Yarrowia lipolytica: one gene and its partner. The protein of the gene in region 1 purifies or fractionates together with the protein of each later gene. This does not show direct contact. Links are inferred from orthologs where the notes say so. Each region holds a gene or a part of one and is shown in the gene's direction. Other genes may lie near its edges.

What was found. Proteins that work in one complex are often made in the same cells at the same time.
Region 2: the proteins of YALI1_F36706g (region 1) and YALI1_B23176g purify together in Saccharomyces cerevisiae (affinity purification with mass spectrometry; 4 studies listed by BioGRID). This does not show direct contact. The link is inferred for Yarrowia lipolytica from reciprocal best matches to the Saccharomyces cerevisiae genes CWC2 and YJU2.

What each region holds. Positions count from the first base shown.
Region 1 is NC_090775.1:3,666,574-3,677,195, reverse strand, and holds YALI1_F36706g (uncharacterized protein), read left to right. Parts: upstream 1-6,552; coding exon 6,553-7,701; downstream 7,702-10,622. Other genes in the region: YALI1_F36760g (uncharacterized protein), read right to left, coding at 501-1,148; YALI1_F36742g (uncharacterized protein), read right to left, coding at 1,854-2,906; YALI1_F36733g (uncharacterized protein), read left to right, coding at 3,848-4,717; YALI1_F36710g (uncharacterized protein), read right to left, coding at 5,577-6,137; YALI1_F36678g (uncharacterized protein), read right to left, coding at 9,082-9,285, 9,335-9,376. UniProt on the Saccharomyces cerevisiae protein: Involved in the first step of pre-mRNA splicing. Required for cell growth and cell cycle control. Plays a role in the levels of the U1, U4, U5 and U6 snRNAs and the maintenance of the U4/U6 snRNA complex.
Region 2 is NC_090771.1:2,312,406-2,322,604, forward strand, and holds YALI1_B23176g (uncharacterized protein), read left to right. Parts: upstream 1-5,200; coding exon 5,201-6,025; downstream 6,026-10,199. Other genes in the region: YALI1_B23153g (uncharacterized protein), read right to left, coding at 1-2,910; YALI1_B23201g (uncharacterized protein), read right to left, coding at 6,357-7,673; YALI1_B23237g (uncharacterized protein), read right to left, coding at 8,753-10,199. UniProt on the Saccharomyces cerevisiae protein: Part of the spliceosome which catalyzes two sequential transesterification reactions, first the excision of the non-coding intron from pre-mRNA and then the ligation of the coding exons to form the mature mRNA.

The sequences.
Region 1 (10,622 bases):
TTCTATAATGTTCCACATGATGCAGCATGCATGAAAACTGAGGATCATAATTGCAAACCAGGCCCTACGGCACGAGTATAGGGACACATTGAATGGGTGATATAGTACTATACCAGATAATATCTTAATAATAGGCTCAGATATAATATAACTTCGATTTGTCTTCTCTCCTGGACAATATCCTTTTTGGGGCTCTTCAGAGTTATGGATCCACCTGTAGTTCTGAAGTGAGGTATTGATGTTCGGAAAAGTTCTGAGTCGACTACAAGTACAATACCAGCTGTTTGCTTGATCTTTTGTCTGTGTCCATTAGTTGTACTTGTGCTTGTACTACTTGTCTCGAGTAGTTGAGAATACTCAGCACCTGGACTCTCAAATACCTGAACTACAAATGATGTGCACATATCTACACGAATTATCTCGTTACTCATATATTTTAGGGAAGTCGCCTTACTCTTCGAACAACCGCCCGCGTATGTACAATGTACCTCTTATCGAGTTTACTCAAGAGGAGTCTTCTCAGCAGGAGGACCGAAAACAGCCTGCTTAAATACACACCAAACACCGGCTCCGGCAGCGGTGATACCAGAAGCAATGAGCATAGGTTTGGTTCCTCGAGGGGCACGGAAAATGGCTCCGGCAATGGCTCCAGCAGCAATAGAGTTGAAGGAGTCGTGCTTACCTCGGATGTCGTAGAGAATCTTGGAGTTGATGATGTTGTAAAAAAATCCCAGAACACCCATGGAGTTACCAAGGAAGGGACCTCGCTTGGTGATTGTGTTAAGAACGTGGTTGATTTTGATTTTGGCTGGTGCGCCCTCCTGGACTGTTCGCAGACCTTCCATTAGACCCGAGAAACCTCCGACACCGAGACCAGAGAGGTACAGAACGCCGGTTCCGTAACACAGGTCATCGTTCCATCCTCGAGACGGAAGCAGACCATCGTAGTAAATGGTCTCATTGCCCTCGAGAGTGAAGTACTCCATGCCGGCATCGAGACCAGCCATGGGATGCAGCTTTGTGGTGTCGAGATCAGCGTTGAGGAAAGAGGCGGCGGAGTTGGCGTTAGGGTCCAGGTCGAAGGTCACCTCCCTGACCTCCTCAACCTTGGGCTGTTCCTCTTTCTTCTTTCCGAATAGCCAGGACATAGTTGTTTGATGTGTGTTTTGGGTGGGGTGGATGGTTGACTACAGGCAACTTTTTTTCACTTTCGCAAGTTTCAGGGTTAGGGGCTTGCTTATTAAGAAAATGTCACTTTGTAAAGGTTAGGGTCTGTGTTTGGGGTGAACCGAGACCAGGGGTGGTTTATTTTTCACAGTTGTATAGACTTAACGACTTTACACCTGGAAAATATCATCATAACAGACCCATCACTTGATCTATCCAGTCTCATTGAGTCATTTCGCGACGAGTGAGTGGAAAGAATAAGGTTATATCTCCCAATGAAGAAGAGCTTATTCAGTGGCAGTTTTATGCAGAGTAATTACTGTAGCAGAGTTGGCAGTACGATACAGTGCGATAGCTACAAGGACTCCAATGGTGGCACTGGTAACACACAGTAGTTCTCAAAATTGCCACCTGTCATTGCACAAGAACCAGCAGGGGACAAATATTAAAACATTACCAGACGATAGTGCGGCACCAATTTTTTATAACTGAAACTTCAAATTCCCCAATAGCCGACCCCAACCTTTCAAAAATCAATTTCAATTTTTTTATCTTGTTACATGTATGGCCATCTCTTGTTCAAACGAATTTTATTAAAATGGACATGGTAATATCCATACTATACAGGTATAACTTGTAGATCCAGGCTCTCTTTTTTCAAATATGATATCATTACGTGGTACATTTTAAACAACAATAGCTCGAAGGCCGGTCTTGCCTGCCTCGGTGGAAAGATGAAGGGAATCATCAGGGTTCTTTCCAGAAACGATCACTAGGGACTCGTCGTATTCGAGCTTGGAGTCGTGTAGCTCGTTGACATGCTTCTCAGAGATGGGAGAGCCAAACGAGTAGCCCAGACGACCATCGTACGTGGAGGCAGGGGTCTCTTCAGAGACTTGTCCGGGGCCAGTGATAACATGTCGGATCTTGATTCGAGGGTACACACGGGCAATCTCAGCCAGATCGTCGTGGACAAAAGCGGCATCAGCAGTCTCAGTCTCCCAGATCAGGTTGATCCAAGTGAGATCCTCGGGAGTGTAGATAATCTCGTTGATGATGGGCAGCATGGCCTGGATGCCAGTGTCTCTGCAGACCATGAGCAGCTCCTTAACCATGTTGTGGGTGTAGTAGGGCTTGCCAATGGGGCCAATGACCTTGACGTGCTGGTTGACCTTCATTCCATCAAGATATCGACCGACCATGTCCTCACTGCCTCCCACGTTGTTGTGTTTGTACTGCAGGTTAAGAGGGGTTCGGTTGTGCCGAACGACAATGTCAAAAGATCCAGGTCGGATCTGAATCGGGTAAAAATGCTTGATGGCAACCCCGGCTCCTCCAGCAACCTTGGTGTCCCACTCAATTCGAACACCAATCTGCTGGCCGGGCTTGATGCCCAAAGTGTCTCGGGGAGAGGGCAGATCGATGGTGTAGATAGAGGTGTCATTGTTGATCAGCACCTTCTCGGAAACAGCCATTTCGTAAAGCTTAAGCTTTGAGTGAGCGGTGAGGAACTCGGGATCCTCCTTCTCGAGATCATTGAGATCGTTCTGGCCCCGGAAGAGAGTCGAGCCCGATCCTCGGTAGAGCTTGAGACCAGCCAGGCCCAGAGTGATGAAGATTCCTCCGACGAAAATCAGAGGATTTTCCAAGTAGTAGGCCAGAATGCCCATTCCCATTATCAGCAGAGCCGAGGGAATGTAGATTCCATCTCGGGGAGTGTCGAGAACGTCTTCATCCATTGTTGTGTGGTTGGAGAGTGTAGCTGAAGAAGAATGTTAGATGTTCGGGAATAAAGTTGATCATTCATGCACTCCGGGCATTGGGTCGAACGTGATTTCTGGCTGAAAAGACTTATTTGAGGGCAATAAAAGAGGTATTCACGTCAAAAATTGTTATCAGTATTCATATATTGATTAAAATGCCTTGTAGATACCACTTCAACATCCTTCTCCACGGTCGTGTTTAGCTCCTCCTCGTCAAGTCCGAACATTATAGTTAACCTGCAGCCCACAAGTCTGTCTTTTCAGTGTTGTGTTGTTGTAGACCCGATAAAGCCTCACTTCGGGAGTGGAAGGTTCCAGCGCATGGTAACTGGAGGTCCAAGTGGCTGAATGGCGGCAGTGAGATTGAACTTGGACTTTTCAAAGGTGGAATTAGACTTTGGCCCTTCGTTTAGAGCATTGCAAGTAGACCTACATTGGGCTGACTAATTGTGCGATTCAAAAGACGTGAAAATTAGTGTTCAGAATATGAATTTCCACAGAACAGCCCCCCCCCAAATAATCGAATTGGGGTATGAGTTCCACAGAACCAAAAGGGTATCTAACATCAGAGTACAGTACATACCATAATCATCTTTTATTCAATCCAGTTTCACTAAAAAAAAAAAGAAAACTGCAATTCGGCCTTACACCAAGCCACACTACAGAATTGGTAGAGTTGGAGGGACTGTAATGAAACTGCTCCAACTTCAGAGACGGAATATATCTGGAACATCAATATTTGACTAGAATGGATATCCTCTGAAGTGAATGGCGCATTCCGACCCTTGCCTACACACTTGTACTGTTGGCTACAGTAACATCACAAATCAAGACCAGTCCCAATATGCATCTTCTCTTATCATACTTTATCTTTCTTCCTTCTCGAACCACTCACTTCCCCATTCCACCATCCCGTCATGACTCTCGCAGCAGTCGGCCAATTTTGTGCAACCAATTCACTTACTCACAATGCCTCTATTGTTGCAGGACTAGTCCATAGAGCAGCAGCCCTGGGCGCCCAGGCTCTGTTCCTCCCTGAAGCCTCCGACTACATTTCTGGCTCGCCTAAGGAAGGGTTGAGTCTTGCACGAAATGCTGAAAATTCGCCCATGATCGCAGCAATCAGGGAGGCTCAAAAGGAAATCAAACAGAGCGGAATGTCTGGAATTGAGGTCTCAGTAGGAGTTCATGAGCTGTCCTCTTCTTCTGACCGGGTCAGAAACACCCTATTGTGGCTTGATTCCAACGGAGACATTGTCAACAGATACCAAAAAGTGCATCTCTTCGACGTGGAGGTGCCCAACGGTCCTATTCTGCAGGAATCAAAGTCAGTAGAGCCCGGGTCTGAACTTCCCAAGCCGTTCGAGACCCCAGTGGGAACAGTTGGACCTGCTATTTGTTATGATATCCGGTTTCCTGAGCTGGCATTGTTGTTGAGAAAGCAAGGCGCCCAGATTCTGCAATTTCCCTCGGCGTTTACAGTCAGAACTGGCGCCGCCCACTGGCACGTTCTTGCCCGAGCTCGTGCTATCGATACCCAATGCTATGTCATGATGCCAGCGCTGGTTGGAAAACACACAGAGGACGGCAAGCGAGAAAGCTACGGACACGCCATGATAATTGACCCCTGGGGAACTGTTCTTGCCGAGGCCAGCGACATAGACTCTTCGGCTGCAGTTATTGTTGCCGATATCAACCTAGAGCAGCTGAAGAAGGTCAGGACCAATATGCCTCTGTGGGACCAGAGACGAAATGATGTGTATAGCTTGCTTGAGGTGAAGAAATAGGGCACATTTAAAGTGTGAACGAATGAATGAAACCCATCTTTAGCGTAACAAACGAATAATCTGAGATATTGGCTGAGTAGCATTTTAGTAGATTGAAGTTGTTATTTCTAGTGTACGGTCCTGTAGATATAACGGGGATGAAAGTAGTCGGGAATATTCTCAATGTCCTCAAAGCATATTACATACACATACATACACATACATCAGCAATAAATCTCTGCTGGTTTAATCTCCTTTCAATATTCTAAATTTTTGCAAAAAGTGTCGGTGTAAGACTCACCACGCAACACAGCACATTGCAAAATGCCTGAGAGCAGAAACTCCTAGCTCATTGGAGTTGCAAAAATGATTTCTGGCAGGATCGAACTGCCGACGTTCTGCGTGTTAAGCAGATGCCATGACCAACTAGACCAAGAAACCCGGGTTTTAATTTCGGAGGTCACATATGACAATTTGAGATCGAAATCTTTGAAAAACCCCATCTGTTGTTCCCTCAGGAATGACTTAATTCTTCAATTAGCCGTGTGGGGACTACTCCAAAGCATGATCTTAGTGACTACATGACCATCTTATTTGTCTTTATTGTCCAGTGTCTAGTATGTGTCTAGCTTCCGTCATCCGTCATGAAGGATGAGACGCTCTATCTCGACATACAGTATAATAGGTTTTGGTAGCTCCATGTATGCTACAAATAAACAAACACGACGTGTATGTCGTTAGGGCTCCCGAACTTCTGTCTTCCGTAAGTACATTAATGCAATACATGCTTCCATCTCACCAAACGCGTCCCAAGTCGCTGTTCTTCCATATATTCTGACAATTGGTACCCCCATGCAAAAGTGTGCACACACTGTTAGTATCAGTCGTCTTCATGGAAGCCTATCTGTGCTTTACTCACTAGCTTCCTCACCTGTAGAAGTTTCTGTTTCAGCTCTTTGCTCTCCTCCAGCAATTCTTGTTTTCGTGATTCAGCCTGGCACTCATGCTCCTTGTATGACTTTTTAATCTGGCTTGCAGCATGGTCCATGTCGGCGGCATAGATCTGCGAGTCTCCCACAATCTCCTCCATTGCCCGCATATACTGCTTGAGCAGCTCTTGTGACTTGCCCCCAACAAACTGGAGGCGTTGTAATTGTTGTTCGAGCTCCACGTTTTCTCGGGCTATTAGCACCGACATGGGCAGTGTGGTATCCGGCTCGTCGCTCTCGCTTTTAAACTCCGACTCATCACGTCCCAGCTCCACCAGCAGTTCCTGCAGCTGCTTCTCTTCAATCTCGAGAATTGAAGCTGCAGTTTCCTCGAGCTTTTCCGACGACTCATGCTGGTTAGTAAGACGCGTAGACAGTGTGCGTACCAGCTCGCTGATCACACTGACGTCGCGGGACAGATATCCCGAACCTATCGGCTGGTCTTCTTTCATGGTGTTATGTTTGGGTGAGATGTGATGAGAAGTTAGACGCGATGGTGGCGATGTTCATCCAAGGTGTGCATATTGGGATGTGTTTAAGTCCAAACTAATTGATGCGTCTGGAATCGTGTGCTGGATAATGGGACAAATATGGATAACTGTACAAGAGGCGACCATAGATGTTTATAACTGCTGTTACCTGTAAATTTCGGCTGGAAAACAACTCTTGCTAGGATCCACTTGACTTCATGACTCCTCCACCGATCACCGCGGTTCTCACTAATTTTTCCATCAAGTAAAATGGTACGCTTCCACAACAAACTCAAAGCAAAATAGCCTCAGAATATATTACACTTCTAAATATGCTCCTCCGGCAATCATCACCACTTGCACCACTACCGCCCGCCCGCCACAACAAATACCCACCATGTCTGAGGCTCCGGAATCTATCGAAACCTCGCCAGTGGTTACACCAGACGTCGCAGAAAGCGTACAGAACCAAGGTGTCGAGGTAGTACAAACAGAAGCACCCACAGAAGCTCAGGTGGTCAAAACGAAATCTAAGAAGAAGAGAACCAAAGATCCTGCATTATACCATACTCGGAAAGCACGGATCCAGGTGGACCCCGACTCGGTCAACACTGATGACAGACCTCCACAGACAGGAACCGTCTATAATATCTGGTTCAACAAGTGGAGTGGAGGAGACAAGGAGGATGAAAAGTTCAACCAGAAGAAAGCAGATGGACGATGTAGCATAGCCCGTGACTCAGGATACACCCGGGCAGACAAGGTACCGGGATCCTACTTTTGCCTGTATTTTGCCCGGGGTCTGTGTACTCAAGGGCACAAGTGTGAGTTTCTGCATCGTCTTCCTGTGTTGACCGACATGTTTAGTCCTACGACTGATTGTTTTGGTCGGGACCGGTTCTTTGACTACAGAGATGATATGGGGGGTATTGGTTCGATCAGTAGAGTCAACCGAACTCTATATGTAGGTCGTATCCATGTGAGTGATGCTGCCAAAGCAGGTGCTCTGGATGAGATTGTCTCGAGACACTTTTCTGAATGGGGAGACGTTGACCGCATTCGAGTTTTGCATGACAAGGGCGTTGCATTTGTGACATACGCCACAGAAGTGAATGCGCAGTTTGCTAAGGAGGCCATGGCTCACCAGAGTCTGGATAGTGGAGAGGTTCTTAACGTACGATGGGCGACACAGGATCCCGATCCTTTGGCTCAGGCACGTGAACAGCGACGACTGGAAGAGAATGCCGCCGAGGCTATTAAGCGGCTGTTGCCTCAGGAGTACGTGGATGAGCTCGAAGGTCGAGCTAAGAAGAGCAAGCCATTGCTGGAGGGTTACGAAGAAGATGACAGCGAGAAACTGAAGAGAATCATGAACAATCAGAAGGAGGCTGGAGCTGAGCCTGCTGAAGAGGTCAAGCAGATTGAACCTGCCCCTGAGCCTGCTGCTCCCGTATCCACTGATACAGGCATGTTCAACAAGAGCTCTCTTAGTGCTCTCAAGGCTCTTAAGAAGAAAAAGAAGACCAAGGCCAAGGTAGAAGAGTAATGCTGAGTGCATTGCTTGTGTGTATTTAATGTATTATAAAGGATAGCCTACTTAAAAGACGTTACCGTATGGAACCGGGTAGCCACGAAACAAAGAGTAACGGTATTTGCAGTATACCGTGTACATACTGTAACTAACCATCACAATGGATGAGAAGGCAATAAAGACACAAAATGGAACCCAGTGGGGCAGGGGGACAAAAAAGAGAGGACGACAGGACTCGAACCCGCAGCCTTTGGAGGACGTCGTTCTGAAGAACCGAAATCCAATGCGCTACCATTACGCCACGTCCTCAGAGTTTTTTTTTGTGAGCTATATTGTAGGAACAGTATTGGTAGCATTTGGCTTATATAATCAGAATCAATTAGAATAAAAAAAATTAAAAAAAAAAACCAAAACAAAAAAAAAAACAAAAACAAAAACAAAAAACAAAAACAAAAAACAAAAACAAAAACAAAAACAAAAACAAAAACAAAAACAAAAACAAAAACAAAAACAAAAACAACTGAACCAGAGAAATACCGCAAGAAGTATTGCCCTATGCTCGTCTGGAAACCTGAAACCTAGTCATCAGATTTGCGGATTTATCATTGTTTATAATCTTTAACTACAGTCATATGTACCGTAAGAGATACAAGATACAAGTACATACTGTACCTAAAATGTATTTCCCTGGAATATAAAAAAGTAAACGTAAACGGGAGGCAATTTAATTTATTGTAACTTCTTTCCATTTCCATATCTTCATCACAAGGGTGTGTGGTATATAGTCTCGCTTAATGGTGCACCACTTACGCCTGATCACGTATGTACTTCTATGGGACCTAGCTAAGGGTATATACAAGTAGTTGCAATCTATAGTTTGAGTGCTGTAGAATACATAGTTGTAGTGCCCTTAACCTTACGGCACAAATATCTACAGAGAACTGACTACAGTATGTACCGTCATTCTACGATGGAACACAACTGACCCTACTCGATACAAGCTCACTGATAAACAACGTGGGAAGATCAACGTTTCCCAAAGCTTTAGCACTGGTGCTAGAAGCACGCTCAATGGATAAAGTGTTGAAATTTGAGCGCACTCCTCCTTTTAAGATGGTTTGATTCAATCGAGGGGATTCTGACATCTTTGGCTGACTCCAATTACTACAGTAGTATCTACACTACCACAGAGCTTGATTCTTGCAATAAAAGCAAGGCACTGCCTGTGCCCTACAGTACGGTTTAACTCGACTTCTGACCTTAATAAGCCTTTTTTATAACATAATTGATTGCATGGTCTGTATGACGCTTGATCTTTTCGACGAGGGCCCGGGTGACTTGTTCGGGGGTATGGGGTAAATGGTCAGTGCGACTGGTTATCAGAGCTACGAGTAGTCAGGGTACGGGAAAGACCGGTGAAAATAAAGTCGTGGTGGACGTGAAGACGGTGTCGGATGACCATTTGGTGGGTGAAGACGTTGTAGTGATGTAGACATGTAGACGTACGACGGGGTATGCAGAAAGACGTGTAACTGGTAATGTGAGGCAGGCGTGGTAAAGTGTTAGCTTGGGGGGGAGGGCGGTGGCATGTGTCCGGTACTAAATGTGAAGTCCAAGAGTCAGGGAGGCAGTGTGGACCTCATAAGACAGGTGCTGGTGAGTCACGGGCGAATAGTCCTTGGGGTGTCATAATCGATGGGTATGAGCCTTCGGGGAGGACCAAAAGCGGGGTGGTTGGGGGAAGTAGATGGGGGAAAAAATGAAGAAAGGGGGTGGTAAAAAATGGGGTGAAAATTATAGGGCAACACAGAGTCAGTGTGGGTGGGAATGTCCGATATATATAGGGAAATACATTTCCTAAGGAAGGACAATCATATTTATTCAACGGATCCATTTTTTAGTTTTTTTTTTTTTTAATTCTAATGATAAATTACAGCTATATATACCTACTTGTAGTAACCCGGGTTAGTGGCTTTCAATCGTCTCTTTTTATTCTAATGATTCAAAGGATGACTAAGCAGTCAGGATCTTAGTAAAGATCGTTTCTCTTCTCATTCTGTAACGGATCGATGATGGGTCAATCCTCAACGCCCTAGGTACGAGCTCCAGAAGTTGTATAAACATAACTTACTTACATACTTGCGAGTAGTGGCTATATATACAGGTATCTCAACCCTAACTCTGTAAAGCACGTCATCCACGCGACCTAGCCAAGCGATACCGAAATATTCATCCATAATGACACACTCATGACGTCCGTAGAACGTCATCATCGTCCAGTCACTTGCCAAGGCATTTTTTTACTAATGATTCATTACTGCTAAGGTTTTTTTATGCTAATGGCATGACTAATCGTAACACCTTATGACTAGCTTCTGAGTCGTTACATATTTGTTAGGGTTCGGCGGCTAATCGGCCGCGGCTAAACCTGATACTGGAGGTTAGTGATACTCGATCCGTCACCGCGGCTATTCGTGCTCTTGTGTGACTGTTGTTTCCTTGTGAGTGTCCAATAGTCTGAACTCTCTGTTCTACTTGTCCATGGTTGTCTGCCTTTGTACTTGACCGTTTAACAAAGGTTAGTGGATATTGGTCCAATATTGGTCCAATATGATCTAGCGGATAACCTACGCACTACGCCGCTTGGAGAGCACTGCCCGTCCGGAACTGGAGGAGTTCCGGAAGTTGCGGACGCCGATCCTGAGATTATATAACTTGCCCTATTTCCTATATTATAATGCACCAACAATTGTTCTGACACTTCGACTACTAACTACCGAGCTTCTCCAGTAAGTACTGGTTGGGAGCCCAAGTCCTGAGGCCCTGGGTTCTAACAATATTTAAATTAATTCTGGGCTGTTGGTGTAGTGGTAACATATCTGCCTTCCATTCGATTGTTAGCAGGTGCCAGGGGTTCAATTCCCCTACAGCTCAAC
Region 2 (10,199 bases), on another chromosome or scaffold:
ATCATCCGCGAGGTCCAATCCTCCAGGACCCTTGAGCTCCGGGAAATACGAGTCCATCTCGATACCCTGCTCGTCCTTGTGCAGCTTCTTTTTGTTATCGGACAACTCACCCCTGAGCTTGTTATCCTCCTGCTCCTGCTCTCTCTTCTCCATCCGCTTGAGGTAGTCCTCATCCACGGAAGGCATGGGCGACGAGGGCACAATGGGGTCGAGATCCCGAGGACCAATGTCAGACACGTTGGACGTCTGCCGAGAATGAGAGGAGCCCCGAAGAGGGTACGACTCATTACCTCCAGCGCCTGGTCCAGAGCTCATCATCGTATGTGAACGCATGGGGTAGGGCAGGCCCATGGTCTCTGTGAGCTCGTTGGAGTTAGCAGACATCGTTCTGCCTCGTCGTAGGTGGGATCGAGTCACCGCATCGTCCTTTCTATGCATCTCGTCGGAAGGAAGAATGATGGCACGATCGACCGAGTACGGCAGACCTCGATGTCTGCCTCGGATCATCATGGCAATGATAATGAGCTTTGAGATGGTGCTAAACTTGCCGGACAAGGACGTGTTCACATCATCGTAGCCCATGGACATGCCGACCGTACCGTATGCAGAGACAACCTCGAAAAGCACAGTGAAGCCAGTAAAACCGAGATCCGTAACGTCCTTGATCTTGGTGCCTTCACAGATACAGATAATAAAGAGCCCTAAGAAGATGTACCACAAATCGTAACCAAGCTGGGCACGCAGGTGGGCTGTGACATACGACGGATGCTTCTTCTTCTTGCCCTTGTAGAGATGCTCGGGGTCGTTCTCCTCGTTCTCTGCCTCCTCATCAGCCGTAGGGGCCTGGTCGTACTCACTCTCTTCGTCTCCCCCTCCATAAATACCCAGAGACTGTTCCTCGTAAACGTTAGTTCGTCGAATCGAGATGGCAATGGGCAGAATGGCAATGTACATCATGATCATGTACGATACCTGGATGGACGGATGGAGTTCGGCAATAGAGACAGAGGTGAAACCGGCTGTTCGAGTAGAGAAGGCCTGGAACAAGCCTGATACAACCCTGTAACCGGGCCTCATCTCGGTGACTGCAGGTGCGTTGAAGTCCAGAATGATGAAGAAGACGAGGTCGACAGAGTTCAGAATCACCAGTGTTGCAAACAACCACCAGGTGGCAGTGGAAGGGAACAGCATGGTGAAACATCGTCGAGGATGATCAAGCAGGAAACCGGTACACTCCTTGAGTGAGGAGTCTCGAGGTGAGAGCTTGAACATGATCCAGATGATGAACCGAAGTAGAACAGGGAAGCCCGTGTTACCGATGACAATGAAGAAGGACATGGTCAACAGAACATAAATGGCTTCCTGATAAGATCCCATGGAGTCCGGGGTTAGAGTGAAACCCACATCGTTGAAGGTCGACTGAGCGGTGAAAAATGCCCACCACGTCGGCGTCACTCCACACGAGTACACGTAGTCTCTGTACTTGGGCATGTAGATGGCCCAGGGCAGCAGCATGATGGCGCACATGAGATGGAAGCCGACGAAGTAGGCAACCAGCACCTTGGACAGTACCTTGAGAGCCCGATACTCGATTCCTCCCAGCTCCTCCTTTTGCTCCTCTGTCAGATCAACAAATGCAGAGTTACGACCAACTGTGGGACTCCAAGACAGGTAGTTGGACGACATGGTCTTGTTGAGATCGGCGTTGGAGGTGGCACCACTGGAAGAAGCGGCGTCTGAGCCGCGTCGTCGATTAGAAAGAAACCGATCAAATGTAAGAGACCGTTTAAAGTGTGCAAAGGCTCCTTCATGGTTCTTCTCTTCAGTGTTGTCGCCGTCAAGGGTAAATGCACGTCGGTTCATGGGTTGGGTGCCGGCAAAGTCGTCATCTTCAGGAGACGGTCTGTGAACGGTCACGTTGGAACGCACCTTTTTCACCGTATCTCCTTCTGAAGAGTCGGAATCCGGATGCTGTCGGTAATACATGTCTTCTCGCTTGATGGAGGTGGGCTGGGTAGCGTCTGACGACTCACCCTCATCAATAGCATGCTCAGCGTCCAGTTGTCGTTGTGACTCACGCATTTCCTCCTTGAACTGTTCCAGAGCAGACTTCTGAGCACGTGGGTGTTCCTGAGTCGAGAACGAAATTGCTCGTGGAGCTCTCTCGATCTCAGGTGAGTCCTCTTCGTCGTCGTCTCGGTCAGGGCGGTCACGAGGGCCTCTGATGACCAGAGCAGGTCCGTCGTCATCACTATCACTCTGTCCTTCAGGGTGTTCATGGGACAGCAAGTTGATGGACCGGTACATATCTTCAGGCTCAACGGAGTGCGTTCGTTTTGGCTGCGGTAGATTTCCGAATGTGATTTCCTTGTTGAGGTTGGGGTTGTCGTTGTTGTGACCTTCCTTGTGAGGCGTTTCGTCGCTACTGTCGTTGTTGATGTTGCTGTTCAGGCCGGCCACTCCTGGGTTCTGGTGTCGCAGAGGAGGGCGTTGAAACAGTCCGTTCTCGAGTGTGTCTTGTCGAGCTAACGTCGTGGCTGTTCTTCGCAGCTTTGACTGCAGTTTGGACTGGTTCTTGATGTCCTTGAACGATTTCTCGAACCAGTGCAGACGCATAAACACGACTCCTGAGTGAATCACAATCGGATTCGTCCACATGGAAATGCAGTAGAGCACCATCTGCTGCCACAGCTTGAGCGAGTTGAGATCGACGGTGTTGAGGCCTGCCTGTGTCGCAGCGCAGGCACACTGAAACAGGGCATCGATGTATTTTGTAGTTTTGGCGGGGTAGAATAGAAAAGTGCCGAAAATGGCCGAGCCAATGATGATGAAGTAGTGCACGACGATGAAGGTGATGCGAAAGTGTCGCAGCTTGCGGTACGCTCGTTTAGCGTAGTCCACTATGAACATGTCTTGTGGAGTGTGTCGAGAGAGAAGAGAGCAAAAAGTGAACCTGTGGGAACACAGAATGGCCTGAGACAACCCCAGGAGAGAGTAGTGGGTTATGAGGGGGTTGAAGAGGTCGAGATTTATACCGTCTCTGTTTTTTGTTTTTTTTCGATGTTACTTTTTTCGGGCTGATGTTGAACAGGTCAGGTCAAAAGTCGGTTCCACCAATCTGGGTGCTGGGTATATGCAGCTATTAATACTGAAGAGCTTGGCCAAAGCTTTTTTTCGTGCAACTCTTGAACCTTGAATGGGGGAGGTGGTCACCAAACAGACTCTGGATGAGGTACACCACCAGAGCCTGCTAGTGGACCAACTTCACGGGTCGCTAAAACCAAGACCTCGCTTGGTGAAAAAATAACTCCCTTTCCATTCCTTTTATCGACCCCTTTCAAGTCGTAATTACTCCTTGGCACGTCCCACATGTTGCTTTGACAGCGACGACACACTCCAGACAAGAGGCATCCGATTCACACACAAGCTCCTTGTTGTTCTGAATGCACATAAGCAATAGACTTCCAACCCCCCAGATTGGTCGACGAGACTATGGTAGTAAGAGTAGTACTTGCACTCGTCGTATATGGTATCCATCTATTGTCGCTAATGTGTGAAGGGGCCACTCATGCCGCCCAAACTAATGCTTCTCTCCTTCTCCTTCTAGTGCCCTCATACACGGCTGAAGTAGTCTAAAAGACCCATACGTACAATAGCTGCTAACCAGCTAACCTGTACTTTTGGCACCACTCCCCTCAGCCGTACCTCTTACATTTTGATCATGTTCGTATCTGTGCCAGCTGCATAAATGATGGTTTCGCGGCTGCTGGTGGCTCTCAAACAAGAGGCCATCTCTTCTGACGCTGCGCAAATCCTCCAAGAACAACCTTCTTTTTGAATTTAGCACCTTTGCGTTTCCAAAGCAAGTGCACACTGAGGCATTTGAAGGGCCTATATTGGTGGGGGAGAGAGGACTGATTAAGCCATGTGCGAGAGACAGGGCATCAGCTCTTGCACGTGTCGATTAATAAGCGAGACCCGCGACGCAAGCAGTCGCCCAGCCTGTACGGCAGCAAAAGAACATTACTAGTACGCATCATCACCCGGTAGTAACGGCCAGCACGTTAAAAAAAAAAGCTGCCACTGTAAAACCTGTAACCGGGTGTATAATAGGGGCTGACCACATGGGGCGGTGTACGTTTTTCTGTCGTCCCCCTCCCCCAAGAGAAAAAAAAAAAGGTTACCAAATAGGTAAATCTATGCGGACGTTTGTACGAGTGCTGAAATTGCGGCTCCTGTATCTTGGCAGGAAAATTATTGATTTTGAAATTGTAGAGAGAAAAGAATCCAACCCTTCCATTGTCTTGATTTTCCGCTAGCGTTTTTATTCGATTTATTGGAAATATTCTCAGAAAACTATCCCTCTTTAAGCTATATTAGCGACAACTCAATTAAGCGTATGTGAGCATCTGTACCACCCTACTGTATCTCAGAGAGGTGGAGGTGGCGGAAATTCAAGAGAAAATCGAGGAAAATACGATCAATTTCAAAACACTCAACCCGGCATAAATGAGCCTCGCGAAAAAGTGCCTTGTCTTGTAAGCCCATAATACACGCCAAAACCACATCGTAAACACGTCGCAATCCCCATTCCAATTAGTTCTAGCGTCACACGTGTTAGCCAAGACAACCGCCTATAGAAGTGTACGATACTGGTACATACAGTACACTCCATTACTCGCACAATAGCGGCGGTGCCATGTTTGTCACGCCAAGGAACCGCTTTTTGAGTTCCGCGATCCGCTCTATACATGGTGTAGGGAAAGATCACGTGACGCCAAATTGGGATGTTCTCGGACTCTCGTTTTAGTGGCCGGGTTGTGCTGCTGTACTTAGCTATCATTTGGGAGAGCTACGAAGACTACTGTAAATGAAGTAAAAATATGAATAACTTAGTGAGGTCAAGTAGTAAGTGGGACAACCAGTTAAGTATATGAGGGTGAGATTCAACATCACCTTTCTACTTGTAGTCACTCAATACTACACGGATCAGCTCAAAAGAGTTTCCAGCTAAGTTTTTTTTCATTGTTGATACCCTCAGCTCAAGTTACACACCTCCGCGGTCTCTCCGACACACCCCCTTGAGACGCACATCGGATCGTACTCTCTCCTTGACAGGTTTCTGATAAAGTTTCTGTACATACTCGTACAGAAAATCAGCAGGCTCTTTTACCCTTCATCACATCATCATCAGCACAAAATGTCGGATCGAAAAGGAATAAACAAATACTATCCGCCCGACTTTGATCCCAGCAAGCTGGAGCGGCGTGCTAAGAAAGTGTCTGACTCCAAATCGGCCACCATGCCCACTGTACGGCTCATGGTGCCTTTCTCCATGCGATGTACCGCCTGTGGAGAATATATTTATAAGAGCAAAAAGTTCAACGCTCGCAAACAGGTGACTGACGAGGTGTATCTTGACGTGAAGATCATTCGCTTCTTTATCCGATGTCCTAGATGTTCAGGTGAGATCAGATTCAAGACTGACCCCAAGAACTCAGACTATCAGACCGAGTATGGAGCTGTACGAAACTACGAACCCTGGAGAGACGAAAAGAAGGTGGAGGAGACTCTGGACGAGCGGCTGGACCGGCTGGAAAAGGAAGAGAAGGAGCTGGAGGAGCTCAAGAAACAGGGAAAGGCTATGCCTGATCCGTCAAAGCTAGGAACCGCAGTTTCTACAGATGGAGACGTCATGGCAGAGATAGAGGCAAGGCAGAAGGCCAACATTGATGAGCAGGAGGGAATTGAACGGCTCGAAGAGCTCAAGGAACGTACTGCTCGTCTTAACAAGATTGGACGAGATGTGGATGTGCTGGAAGAGCTGAGAAAGAGAGATGACAAGGAAAGTGGCGTATCTGAACAGGATTTGCGTGATGATGAGATGGCTAAGGAGGTGTTTAGGAACGCGCAAGGTGAGAAGATCAAGAGAGTGGAGGTGGCAAAGGTGGATGCCTCGGTGAAGAAGGTATCCAAGCCTGTTGTCAAGATGAAGAAACGCATGAAGGGAATTGTCAGAAAGTAGAAGACGGAGGATATATTGCATCAACGCATTGTATAATACATTATGAAGTATTTGAGGCTACGAGTATTATACATCTGTAGAAGTTGCAAGTACTGCAGTACACACGGTGCATTCTGTAGCATGGCAACATAGTCAGCGGTAAGAACTCTCCACAGTTGTGTGTACAGGAGGTGTACAGGTAGTTAACTAGATCAGCCTAGTAAGAACAGCACCAGTTATCACCCCCCTCATCTACAGTTTCATCTTGAAAGCCCTTTCAACCACCACCGAACTCATAAATCATATCTCATTACTCGGGACAATAAATATATATAAATAAGCCTCCTCCTCTTTATACCACCACTCTTCGGCGCGTCTTGTGCCTATTAACGGCTCTGGACCTAGCTGGAACCCTCGTCTGAGGTACATGGGGCAACAGCATCGACTCGGGGGCATCAACCAGACAATTAATCTTAGTCATCATGACCTGAACGTCAACTTGCTCACCAAAATGCGTCAGCAGAAACTGCTGTGAGTATCTGTATACAACCAGCTGCCCATCTACTAATCCAGGAAGTGCCAGGAAGCCAGCCTGAAGAGACGTGTAGTAGAACGCAGTGATATCAACAATACTCTGAGTGGCAAAGTCAATTAAATGGGTCATACTTCCAGCCGCATTGTATAGGCCAACATAGTTACTGTAGACGGGATCCTGGCTGATATTTGTAGCGTGCACGGGTGTCCTGTTGAACAAGTACCGCATGAATTCAGGCATGACATGTTTTCCAGCCATGGCAATTTTGCCATCAAACACACACAACATCTCAGGTGTTGACGTGAGCATGTACTTGTCATTGAATAGCACCCGTTCCATCACTCCATTGTTCAGAGCCAGAAGAGCTCCGGTATGTCCTTGTTGCTGGACATACACAAAGATGCAAGACTCGACCAGAAACAGGTCGAAAGAAGTGAGGGTTGAAGGACAGAAGCCGACAGAGTAAAGCCAATCGTCAGTGTTCTCTCCAAAATCAATATTTGGCGCAATGCCATGGCTGTCAATGTACTTAACCAAAATGCGGTATTCGCTTGGCTCATAGCAAACGATGGCAGCGATGCATTTAGTGTTGGTTTTGATTGCCAGAATGGCATGCTGTCTTTGTCCTCTCTGGAATCCCATTTTGATACCAAATCTGCTGGATATAGTTCCGTTGTCGTAGTGGTAATCTTCGTTGGTAACCCCCTCACTTCCCTTTAGTGACACGAAGGCGCCCTGGAAGCTGAACCCGCTGTCGGTATGTCGTAGGGCCACATCATCATGCCACCCATCCCGAGTCGCAGCTTGCATTTTACACAAAGAGTAATAATGTGGCGGCAGCAGTTCATCTTGTCTGACTGCGATGGTTGTGTTTGGACATAGTTGTTGAATGATAGAGCTATCCACCTTGGGACTGTTGAGTCGGTTTCGGCGCAGGTACTCCGTTGCACAATCTCTCCAGCTAAGTCTGTTCGAGTTGTCAAGCTGGTAGAAGGGACAGCTCTTGAGCAGCATGTACCGATACTCGGCTTCTGTGATGGCAGAGTTCCAAGACTGGCACGTTTGAGCCAGAGAAACAAGCGAATAGAGATCCAGATGCTCCAGCAGGATGTTCACCAACTCGGGCGGCAGCATGGTGGTTTGTGTGCAATTTGTAGCCGATTTTAGAGGGGTTTCCTGTGAAAAGGAAGGTCCTGTACAACCGCTCTCCACAACTGGTAATACACTTTTGTTTGGAATGTAACAAGATGCATATGCAATGTTGGACGATAAAAGAAGTTAAACAAAAAAACTGTATCATTTCCTATTAAATCGAGGATAATTGTAAACGACTCAGAATTTTCCCAGGGTCTTCCAAAGTGAAATTCCTATCAGAGGAATATTTTTAATATGCAAAACTTCAACCGTCGGAGAGTCATATATCTCAACTCCATGTCCTTGTGACGCTTCGATAAGTGTAAATTTTGCCTTCTCACTGCCTGGTTTTAACTCCACATGACAGTATTTTCCGGGAGTTAGTAAGCCAGGTGATGAGTCATCTTCGGGGCTGTATCAATGAGAAGCCGTCATTAAAGATTTCGAAGTGTGTATCTGAAGATGGCACTGAGTTGTACTTGTACGGACTCTACTGGAACCACTCCGATCCATTTGAGATAATTGCTCTTTGCTGACTCAACAGAGCTTATTTTGCGGGGCTAAGAAGATGAACCGATGTACGATACTCTTGCAGTATGTTGTCACTACTTGTAGGCAAACAAATGCCATCAGAGATTAAAAATGAAATTTTAAAAAAATAATAAAAAAAAAAAAACACCAGAACAGACATAAAAGTTACAAGATGTATTCAGATCATCATTTATTAGTTGACTTTTTCTTCATCATTGGAATAATATGACATCTTAAAATTGTCAAACACACATGTGTAGATTTTTTTCGAATTTCGTCTCTAATTTTGAATTTAACGAAAATGTGTTCCCCAAAATCAAAACAATCAAAAACAATTCATAAATCATCTATATCGCTCTTCATAACTTCAAGCCCGTTCATAGCAAAAATCCGGGTATATTCCTATTGTCGTTTTTTTGGTTCGGTTTACATATCCATCCTCTCTACTCCCCAAAACTCATTCTTTTACAATGTGACTCAGTCTATACCAATACTTTTGATTAATGCAATAAATAGTTAGTCTTCCCATGATGATCCAATGATAATCCTTACAAGTCAGGAATGTCCAAATGGAAAAAAGGAGTGTCGGTGGACACCACGGGGATGTAGCCTCCAAACTCCTTGTCGTCCTGAGAAGAAGAAGACACGCTCTTGGTGTCCAGACCTCCAATGGCTTCTTCCTCATCGAACGGCTTCTTTTTTGCGTACTCTTCATCCGAGTCGTTGGACAGAGAATCGCCCTCGATCACCATGGTAGTGTCATTGGGCAAAGTCTGTCGGTCAAGGGCAGTGGCTCTACGGGCCGCAGTCACCTGGTAGTTGCTCAGGTGTTGTCCCTTTGGCACTCCTCCGAATCCAGAGCCCACCAAAGCACGTCGGACCCAGGGAGACAGAAGACCCGAGAAATGGAACTCGACTTCTCGGCCAACATATCGGTTGATCTCTCCTCGAGCATCTACCAGGTTCTGGATACCAGTAGAGTCTGTGGAAGAGACGACAGAGAAATCTAGCACCACCTTCTCTAGAATGGGCCGCAGATCGACAGTTTCGCTCTCCTTGGGATGTCGAGGACCATGGTCGTTCCAGGGCCGCTCTCCAAGAGTCTTGTATCGCACTCCCTCGGCTCGTCGAGTCTTTTCTCGAATGACATCCACCAACTTGTCTGTCTGTCTAGAACAGTTGGGGTAGGTGAATGCTTCCGTGAATCGGTAGACGATGACTCCAGGTCGGGGGGGCGAGATCTTGATGTCTGGGTTGACGTTCTTTCGAGACAGAGGCACCCAGACGGTTCGTCGGGGCACATGAGACAGAGCTGCTGCAGTGGTCGACTTCTCCACCTCCTGAGGAGCCAGAAGAGGCAAACCATGCTGGACATCTGCGTCAACAACAGGACCGTCCTCAATGAGCTTTCCAGCCTTGCTGATAAGTCCCTTGACTTTGCCGAGCTTAGTGTTTCGGGCAGCCTCGGCAGCAGCAATCTCTTCGACATCGGCAGTCTGCTGGACAATGAGAGGATCTTCGACGTCGACAATCTCAATCTTGCCCATGAGGTCTCCGGCAGGGAAGGCGACCTTGAGAAGCAGCCAGACGAGAGATGCAGCGACAGCAAAATAGATACCAGCCTCGATGGTGACAAAGACTGTGAGGATAATTGCAACGAAGAAGATGACTGCATCGATGGGGGCAATTTTCCAGAAGTGGAAGAGCTGTCGAGGATGTGCCACCAAGTCAAACACAGCGTGAATGATGATGGCAGAAAGAACGGCATTGGGGATCCAGTAGAAGACAGTGTTGAGGGCGTACAGAGCAATGAGCACAACAACACCAGTGTAAATACCGGCAAGAGGTGTTCGCACACCACACTTTGCCTTAAGGGCAGATCGAGAGAAGGAACCGGTGGCGGGGTAGGCGTTGAAGAAGGTTCCAACCAGGTTGGTAACACCAATAGCAATGAGCTCCTGGTCGGGAGAAATCTTGTAGTCGTTGACACGGCCA